Xenopus tropicalis: one gene and its partner. The protein of the gene in region 2 interacts with the protein of the main gene of each other region in a biochemical or structural test. Links are inferred from orthologs where the notes say so. Each region holds a gene or a part of one and is shown on either strand. Other genes may lie near its edges. The genes, in order: lnpep and tnks2.

Region 1 (3,831 bases), on a different chromosome or scaffold from region 2:
CAGTGCTCCTCCTCACTAAAAAAATACACTGTACATAAAATTGGGAACCTCTAATGTAACAAAGTTATTATAAAAGAGGTTAATTGTGATAACTATATCCCTGACCACATATAGCAGCCAATAAAGGATGAATGCAATACAGATTAGGCTTGATGACATTCCTGTTGGTACAGACCTACTGGAAAAAATAAAACCATTATATCCCATGTGTTGCATATGGTGGAACATAGAATTGCTCAACACCGCCCTTAGGGTGTATGTGATGGTAGAATGGGCATTTTGTCACCTGCGCTAAATCTCCTCCAGAACTGGAAACAAAATTTCTGAAAATATCTTTATTTGAAAATCAGTGTCTATCCCCACCAGTAAAACACTGAATCACATAATCACAACAAAATGCCTTGTAAATAAATAAAATAAAAATAAATGTTGTACATTATATTTTGGGCTTCTGTACCAGTCCAAGACAACCACAGCCCTTATGATTATGCATTAAAGCTTTTTAAGAAAATAATAAGTTAGTAAAAAAAAAAAAAAATAACAAAATACCCTGTATAACAGAACTTAGAATTAAAAGATCTGTTTATTTTGGTCATGTTGACAGAGGGTAGGAAATGTGGGGCATGTACCCCTATAAACAGAAAGGAACAAGCCAAAAATTGAGCAGACACTGCATGCAAGATCTTACAGCTTACAGAGTATTTCAGTAATGGCAACTATGGCTTCTATTGGCCTTGATCAGAGAGTGCTTAATATCTCAGAAAACATGGGTAAGAAAAAGTATTTAGCTTCCAAACAATTTTCCTATATGGTGTATTCTTGTGCACGTGCACAAATTTTGAGACCAGCATCTACAACAAATTGTGGTGCGCACAAAGAATTTTGTGTGAAAACACTAAGGGGCACATTTACTAATCCATGAACGTCCGAAAAGCGTCCGAATGCGTTTTTTTCGTAATGATCGGTACTTTGCGACTTTTTCGAGCACTCAATACGAAAAAGTCGCGACAATTCGCGAAAGTCATAATGGCTATGAAAAAGTCGCGACAATTCACGAAATTTGTATTGGCTATGAAAAAGTCTCGACAATTCACGAAAGTCATAATGCTATGAAAAAGTTGCGACAATTCGCGCAAGTCATAATGCTATGAAAAATTCGCGACAAATCGCGCAAGTCGTAACGGCTACGAAAAAGTCGCAAAAAATACGAAAAAGTCGCAAAATGTTCGTTTTCCAATCCGAATTTTTCCCATTCGGATTCGTGGATTAGTAAATCAGCCCCTAAATGTTATATCTATTCTGATTTGAGCACAGTGTTTTTAAAAATGCGCACACAAGTTTAAAATGAGTGCACAAAAGAATTGTTTTTTGCGCACACAGCCAAGAAGGTATTCGTGGGAACATTGCTTCTGAGCATCAAGGCCTAAACATGTTTTTAGAATAGTGTCTCTGTTGTTGCATGGCAGAGAACTGTATCCACTGAATAAAGAATAAATGTATTCATTCAAAAACACAAGCTGTAAGGCATGGAGATTAGACAGATTTTAGTCTAGTTTATCTTCAGCAGTGTAAAAGTGAAAAAAATACGCTTTGTTCTACCATATATGCATTAAAGGGAATGTTCACCCATATAATAAAGCTTAGTATGTTATAAAACCTGTTCTAAGCACATTTAAATTTGTTTTCATTATTTAGTGCCGAATAACAAATACGCCATAAAGGATTTTGCCAAATACCAAACTGAATCAGTGCCCTCATTTGCATATGCAAATTAAATCACAGAAAAACTCCTTGTATTGCTTTTTTAGGACAACTTAAACTTTCAAAATATGTTAGAATTCTTGTGTAATTCCACTGCTAGAATTCTATATCTTGTTACAGAATGTCTAAAAAATGAAGAAAAAAAAAATCATTTTCCTTAATATAAACATATAATATAAACATAATTTGTTTTATGCACAAAACTACAGCTGATTTATAAAGTCCTTTATCTCCTGAACGCACCAGTACCAAATATATGTACAGTTTTATGGAAACTTCTCCCAGCATTACACCACCAAATTTCCAATGCACTGATCCAGAAATCTGCATTTTTCAGGTTGTAAGGCCAAAAATTCAACTTTCAATAGGTTTACTCCAGCAATACATATTTGAAAAAGAACAGGTTCTGACAAATCCAACATTTCTAATGCTAACTACCAAGTTGCAATGTTTTTTTTTTTTTAAAAATTGTGAAATTTTTGAAAAATATGGGCTAAAATTGGCTATTAGGTAGCCTCTATGCACACTATCAGCTTACAGCTTATTTGGTGGTAAATCTTGTTTCTATTCAACCAAAACTTGCCACCAAGTCAGGAATTCAAAAATAACTACCTGGTTTGGGGGCAACCAAGCGGTTAGTGAGCAACATGTTGCTCACGAGCCACTGGTTGGGGAATTCATTGTTGCCTATACTGTGCAATCCCTACTAAGTCCTTGTGGTTTTTTCTTTTTTTGTTTATACAGTAAAGGAGCACATGTACCATAAATGCATATCAGGCATTTTTAAGTTATGTTTTATTCCTATGAATGAGCCATTTTCAGATTCTCTCTTCAAGCTCTTTGTTTTGAATCTGAATTTTCTGCATTTATGGAACCAGAGTTTTCTTTTCCAGTAGAGAAGCAGCCAGCCTTTACACGTTCATAGGCATGCTGAAGCAGTGTGTATGTTTATGGAATAGTGTTTCAGTTACACAGTAGTAACAATCAATCAACTCCACTATGCCTCCCTTGGTTTCACCTTATAATGTGCTTTCCAAAGGGACCTGCTGCTTGCCTTTGCTTTTATAAATATTAAATAAGTCCATCTAATAGCCAAATAAACAAGGTCTCCGGGACTCATCTTCAGTTTGATGCTTTTTCAATTTTCACAGATCTCTTGCAGCCACTCAGTTTGAGCCACTTGCAGCAAGAAAAGTGTTTCCGTGCTTTGATGAACCTGCTTTCAAATCCACATTCCAGATCAACATCATAAGAAATCAAAGTATGATCTCTCTTTCAAACATGCCAAAGGTAAGCTTTACATCCATCCATTATCAGACTCCATTCAGTATTCGCTTCTGGTCAATTAAACTTATAATTCAGTTCTGTAATGATAGCAACCCCCGCTTCTTTAAAGAAACTGGACCAACCTAAACTTTCTTCTGTATTGTATTTATTTATATTGCTTCACAATTGCAGTTCTTTACATGGTGTGAACACAAACAGGGGTATAGTTATATTAAAGGGGAAAGGAAAGTCATTATGGCATTTTATTGACAATAGAATACTATTCATTAGTGCTAGAATACTATATTTATTCTGCAGAAAGCTTTACCCCTCCTGAGTAAACATCTAGAAGCTCCCTGTGTTTGTTTAAAGGAGAAGGAAAGGCAAAGTCACTTGGGGGTGCCAAAATGTTAGGCACCCCCAAGTGACTTGAATCGCATACCTTTTACCCCGGGCTGGTGCCCCTGTACAGAGAGAACAGCACCAGCCCGGGGTACCTGCAGCGCTTCCTCCTTCCTGTATCGCTTGTGCGTGCATGCGCAGTAGAGTGAATAGCGGAACTTTAACAGAGAAGTCGGTTTTTACTCTACTGCGCATGCGCCTATTGTGTTAGTCGCAGCGAAACGAAGCCGGAAGGAGGAAGTGCTCGCTCCAGGTACCCCAGGCTGGTGCTGTTTTCTCCTAACAGGGGCACCAGCCCGGGGTACAGGGTAGGCGATTAAAGTCACTTGGGGGTGCTTAACATTTTAGCACCCCCAAGTGACTTAGCCTTTCCATCTCCTTTAAGATAGCAACTGCCATTTT
Region 2 (3,741 bases):
TGTTCCTGATCTTGCTCTTCTATGTAAATGTTCATATTTGTGTGACTCCACCTGAATGTCATTTCTGACGCAGCTGATTTTATTCACAGCTGGCTACAATAACCTGGAAGTTGCAGAGTACCTCTTACAAAATGGTGCTGATGTAAATGCGCAAGACAAGGGAGGCCTTATCCCTTTACACAATGCAGCATCATATGGGGTAAACAGTTTGTTTATTGGCATATGTTTGTCTAAATCTTCTGTTGATAATTCAGAAGTAACCCACAAAGCTATTGTTGTTTTGCAGCATGTGGACGTGGCAGCTTTGCTCATTAAATATAATGCATGTGTCAATGCCACTGACAAATGGGCTTTTACGCCCTTGCATGAAGCAGCTCAGAAAGGAAGAACTCAGCTTTGCGCTCTGCTCCTGGCACATGGGGCAGATCCTACTTTGAAAAACCAAGAAGGGCAAGCTCCATTAGACTTGGTAACAGTAAGTTGATGGCCATTTTATTATTTAGATTTATTTCAACTAGAAAATGATTGTGAACATTTTGTCAGTCTTACAGCGCCGGTTGATAATACTTTTAGCAATATATCCGTTTCTGTTAATTGCTGCATATTAGCACTAATTTATAAACCGCATGCTTGCATTTTTTGCCTAGCTGCATTAACTGGCGTTCAAGTTGCTGTGTAGATTGAAAATATCCTTGAAGTTTCTTGCAGAATTTTGTATCAGCCAACCATTCCTGCTTTCTCTGCTTCACATTAACTTAATTAAAATAAAAGTTTCTGGTCCTGTTAACAAAGGACATCTGTGTGACCTTTGAAGTACAGTGGCATTGTTCCTATGTGGCTTTATTCTTCCGCTTGAGGTCTGTGGCTGGAAAAAAAAAAGTGTAGACTTTTTTTCTTCAACATTGCTTTAGCAACCTAAATATTTAGGCATTCTTGGTTTCTTTAGCAGTGCTAAAAATATTTTATATACATGTATAATAAGCCTAATTGGATTAAACTGTGACTAATTATCTTTTCTCTGTGATCAGGCTGATGATGTTCGGGCTCTTCTGACAGCTGCCATGCCTCCAGCTGCTCTGTCAACATTTTATAAGCCACAACTAATAAATGTTTCTCAGCCTTCTGCCACTGCTGTGGCAACCCTTTCTTCTGTGCCATCAAGTTCACCAACTCTCTCTGCTGCAAGTAGCCTGGATAACTTGGCTTCCGGCTTCTCAGAAGCCACCTCTGTTAGTAGTGGAGGAGCTGAAGGAGCATCTGGATTGGATAAGAAAGAAGAAGGTAAGATGTGCTTAATGCTGTCATCATTTTGTAACTATCTGTGGAACTTTTACTGCAGCTTTATAATCTCAAATAAAAAGTACCTTCAGCATTTACATGTTCTCCATTTTGTTGCCAGTATTATGTCATTATTGACGGCACCAGTGACATTGTGGCACAATTTTTTTTCCTCAAAAGTAGGCCGGTGATCACTTCTATTTAAAGATTTTTTTTTTTTTTTTTTTAAAAAGGTACATTTTATTGATTCAAAACGCAAAACAGACAAAATTAAAATAAAGCAACTTATGCTCCAGTAGGGCAGATGGGTGTCAGAGTGAACAAAGCAATATAAAGCCATATCTGCCCAGAGTATGAACTTTTACCAATACATCAACTATAGTCCAAAGCTTTTGAACAAAAAATCACCAGGTACTTTGGTTATTTACCCCTACTAGAAAGAAGGTAAGAAGTCTTTATGATGACCAAGGAATAATAAAGCGTGTCTTTAACTGTACAATTTTCTCCATAGTTCCAGGTGTAGAGTTGAGCATCAATCAATTTTTGCGGAACCTTGGCCTAGAGCACTTAATCGATATCTTTGAGCGAGAGCAGGTTAGTACTTTATGTAGTCATATTTAATGAATTGTTCTTATTCATGTTATATGTTCTGCTCATCAGTTATTGCTGTGCAGGAAGATTGCAGCATTTAGTGATAGAATATTTTTAGTAAACCAGCTAGCATCACAGACATTTTGTTTCCTGCAGGTTTGCATACTAATACCCACACTTATCTCCATCACCAGTCAAGCAAAATCTGGGATCTGCTGCATTTGATGCAAAATGAAGCCTGGCAACTTTGATTCCTTGGCTAAAATATGTATTTAAACATACAGTATTTCTGTGGCAGCTTACAATAAGTTGTGATTACTGAAGAAAAATATTTAAAATAAATATAATCATTTATGGATTTGGTGCATCTTAGAATTACTTTTTTTGTTTAAATACAGAACTCTAAATACTGTATTCTGTCCAGACTTATCCAACCCAATTGTACATGGCAGCACTTTGGTATGAGGATTGTGGAATTCATGTTGTTTTAGATCACATTAGATGTTTTAATTGAAATGGGCCATAAGGAATTCAAGGAGATTGGAATAAATGCGTATGGACACAGACACAAGATCATCAAAGGAGTAGAGAGACTCATCTCTGGACAGCATGGTAATTAAAAAGATCTAATATTCCTTATTAATCCTTTATACATTTAAGGTAGAGTTTTCCAGTCACTGTAACTAATGTTGTGCTATCATTTGTGTATTAAAAAGTAGAGCCTACATTTTAAGCATTTACTGAAAAGTAGTATCATGTACTAAAAAGTAAGTGATACATGCAAAGTGTTAGTTGTATTTCTTCAAGGAAAGTTATGGTAAAGTAACAACTGTAGCTATGGTCAACTGATTTCAGATGTAGATTTTGGCACACGTGACTTTTTAAATGGTAGCAACTCTTCTCTGTTACAGTTTGTCATTCCCTCAGTATCATTGGAATAATTTTCCTTCTCATTTGGGCACTTTAATTGTAAAGAACATTGCAGAAAATATTTAAACATTTTATGTTCATGCCTTGAAAGTGACAACTTTTATTCCAATGAAACTAACCATTAATGGACTTTATAAGTATACAAGAGGCATTCTTTAACTTAGCTTATACTCAGGTGATGGATTTTACTCTGAAACTGAATGACTAATGGATACATGTAATATATTTTGCAGACTGGACAAACTATAAGAATATAGATCACTTTGTGTATATAAACATAAATAACATTGTTAAATGCCACGGAAAACAAAACATGGGAAGCTGCTAGAAAATTGTCTAACATAACCCTTGCCTTTGTTGTTGTTTTACTTTTATTTAGGTTTGAACCCTTATTTAACACTGAATACAGCTAACAGTGGAACAATCCTGATTGATCTTGCTCCTGATGACAAAGAATTTCTTTCAGTTGAAGAAGAGGTAAACTGTGTAACAAGATCCATTTCCTTTTGACACATATATATTGGAACTTTCTTGATTATAAATCTTTCAAAGCTTTTGAGATGAGTATAAATAAAAAAAAAATGTTTTTCTAATTGCAAATACTGAACTTTTCAAATAACATTCAGACATCATTTCCTCAGAACATTCCAAGAGCTACCTCACCTCCTCTATTTACCTAAATAAACATACAGGTGGTGCTTTAGTTTGGATTCCTGCTGCTTTTAGGACTGTATAACTCTAATTCAACACCTTCCAGATGGCCCCAACATGTTCTGCAATGTGCAAATTCCATTTTATGGTACTTTATTAAGATCTCAAGTATTGCACGTTGCAGGATAAGTGGGTGGTATTTGGATTGCGTCCTATTGGAATTTTCAAGTAGTTTGTGTGTGTGTATTAATCTATTGTATTTTTTTAGATGCAGAGCACTGTCAGGGAACA

Evidence for each region.
Region 1: the proteins of tnks2 (region 2) and lnpep form a complex in vitro, tested with the Homo sapiens proteins (4 studies listed by BioGRID and IntAct, with this or other methods). The link is inferred for Xenopus tropicalis from reciprocal best matches to the Homo sapiens genes TNKS2 and LNPEP.

Annotation. Positions count from the first base shown.
Region 1 is NC_030677.2:176,658,930-176,662,760, reverse strand, and holds part of lnpep (leucyl-cystinyl aminopeptidase), read left to right. Parts: intron 1-2,912; coding exon 2,913-3,051; intron 3,052-3,831. UniProt on the Homo sapiens protein: Release of an N-terminal amino acid, cleaves before cysteine, leucine as well as other amino acids. Degrades peptide hormones such as oxytocin, vasopressin and angiotensin III, and plays a role in maintaining homeostasis during pregnancy.
Region 2 is NC_030683.2:37,237,920-37,241,660, forward strand, and holds part of tnks2 (tankyrase-2), read left to right. Parts: intron 1-89; coding exon 90-199; intron 200-286; coding exon 287-475; intron 476-1,028; coding exon 1,029-1,281; intron 1,282-1,789; coding exon 1,790-1,872; intron 1,873-2,360; coding exon 2,361-2,481; intron 2,482-3,178; coding exon 3,179-3,276; intron 3,277-3,718; coding exon 3,719-3,741. UniProt on the Homo sapiens protein: Poly-ADP-ribosyltransferase involved in various processes such as Wnt signaling pathway, telomere length and vesicle trafficking.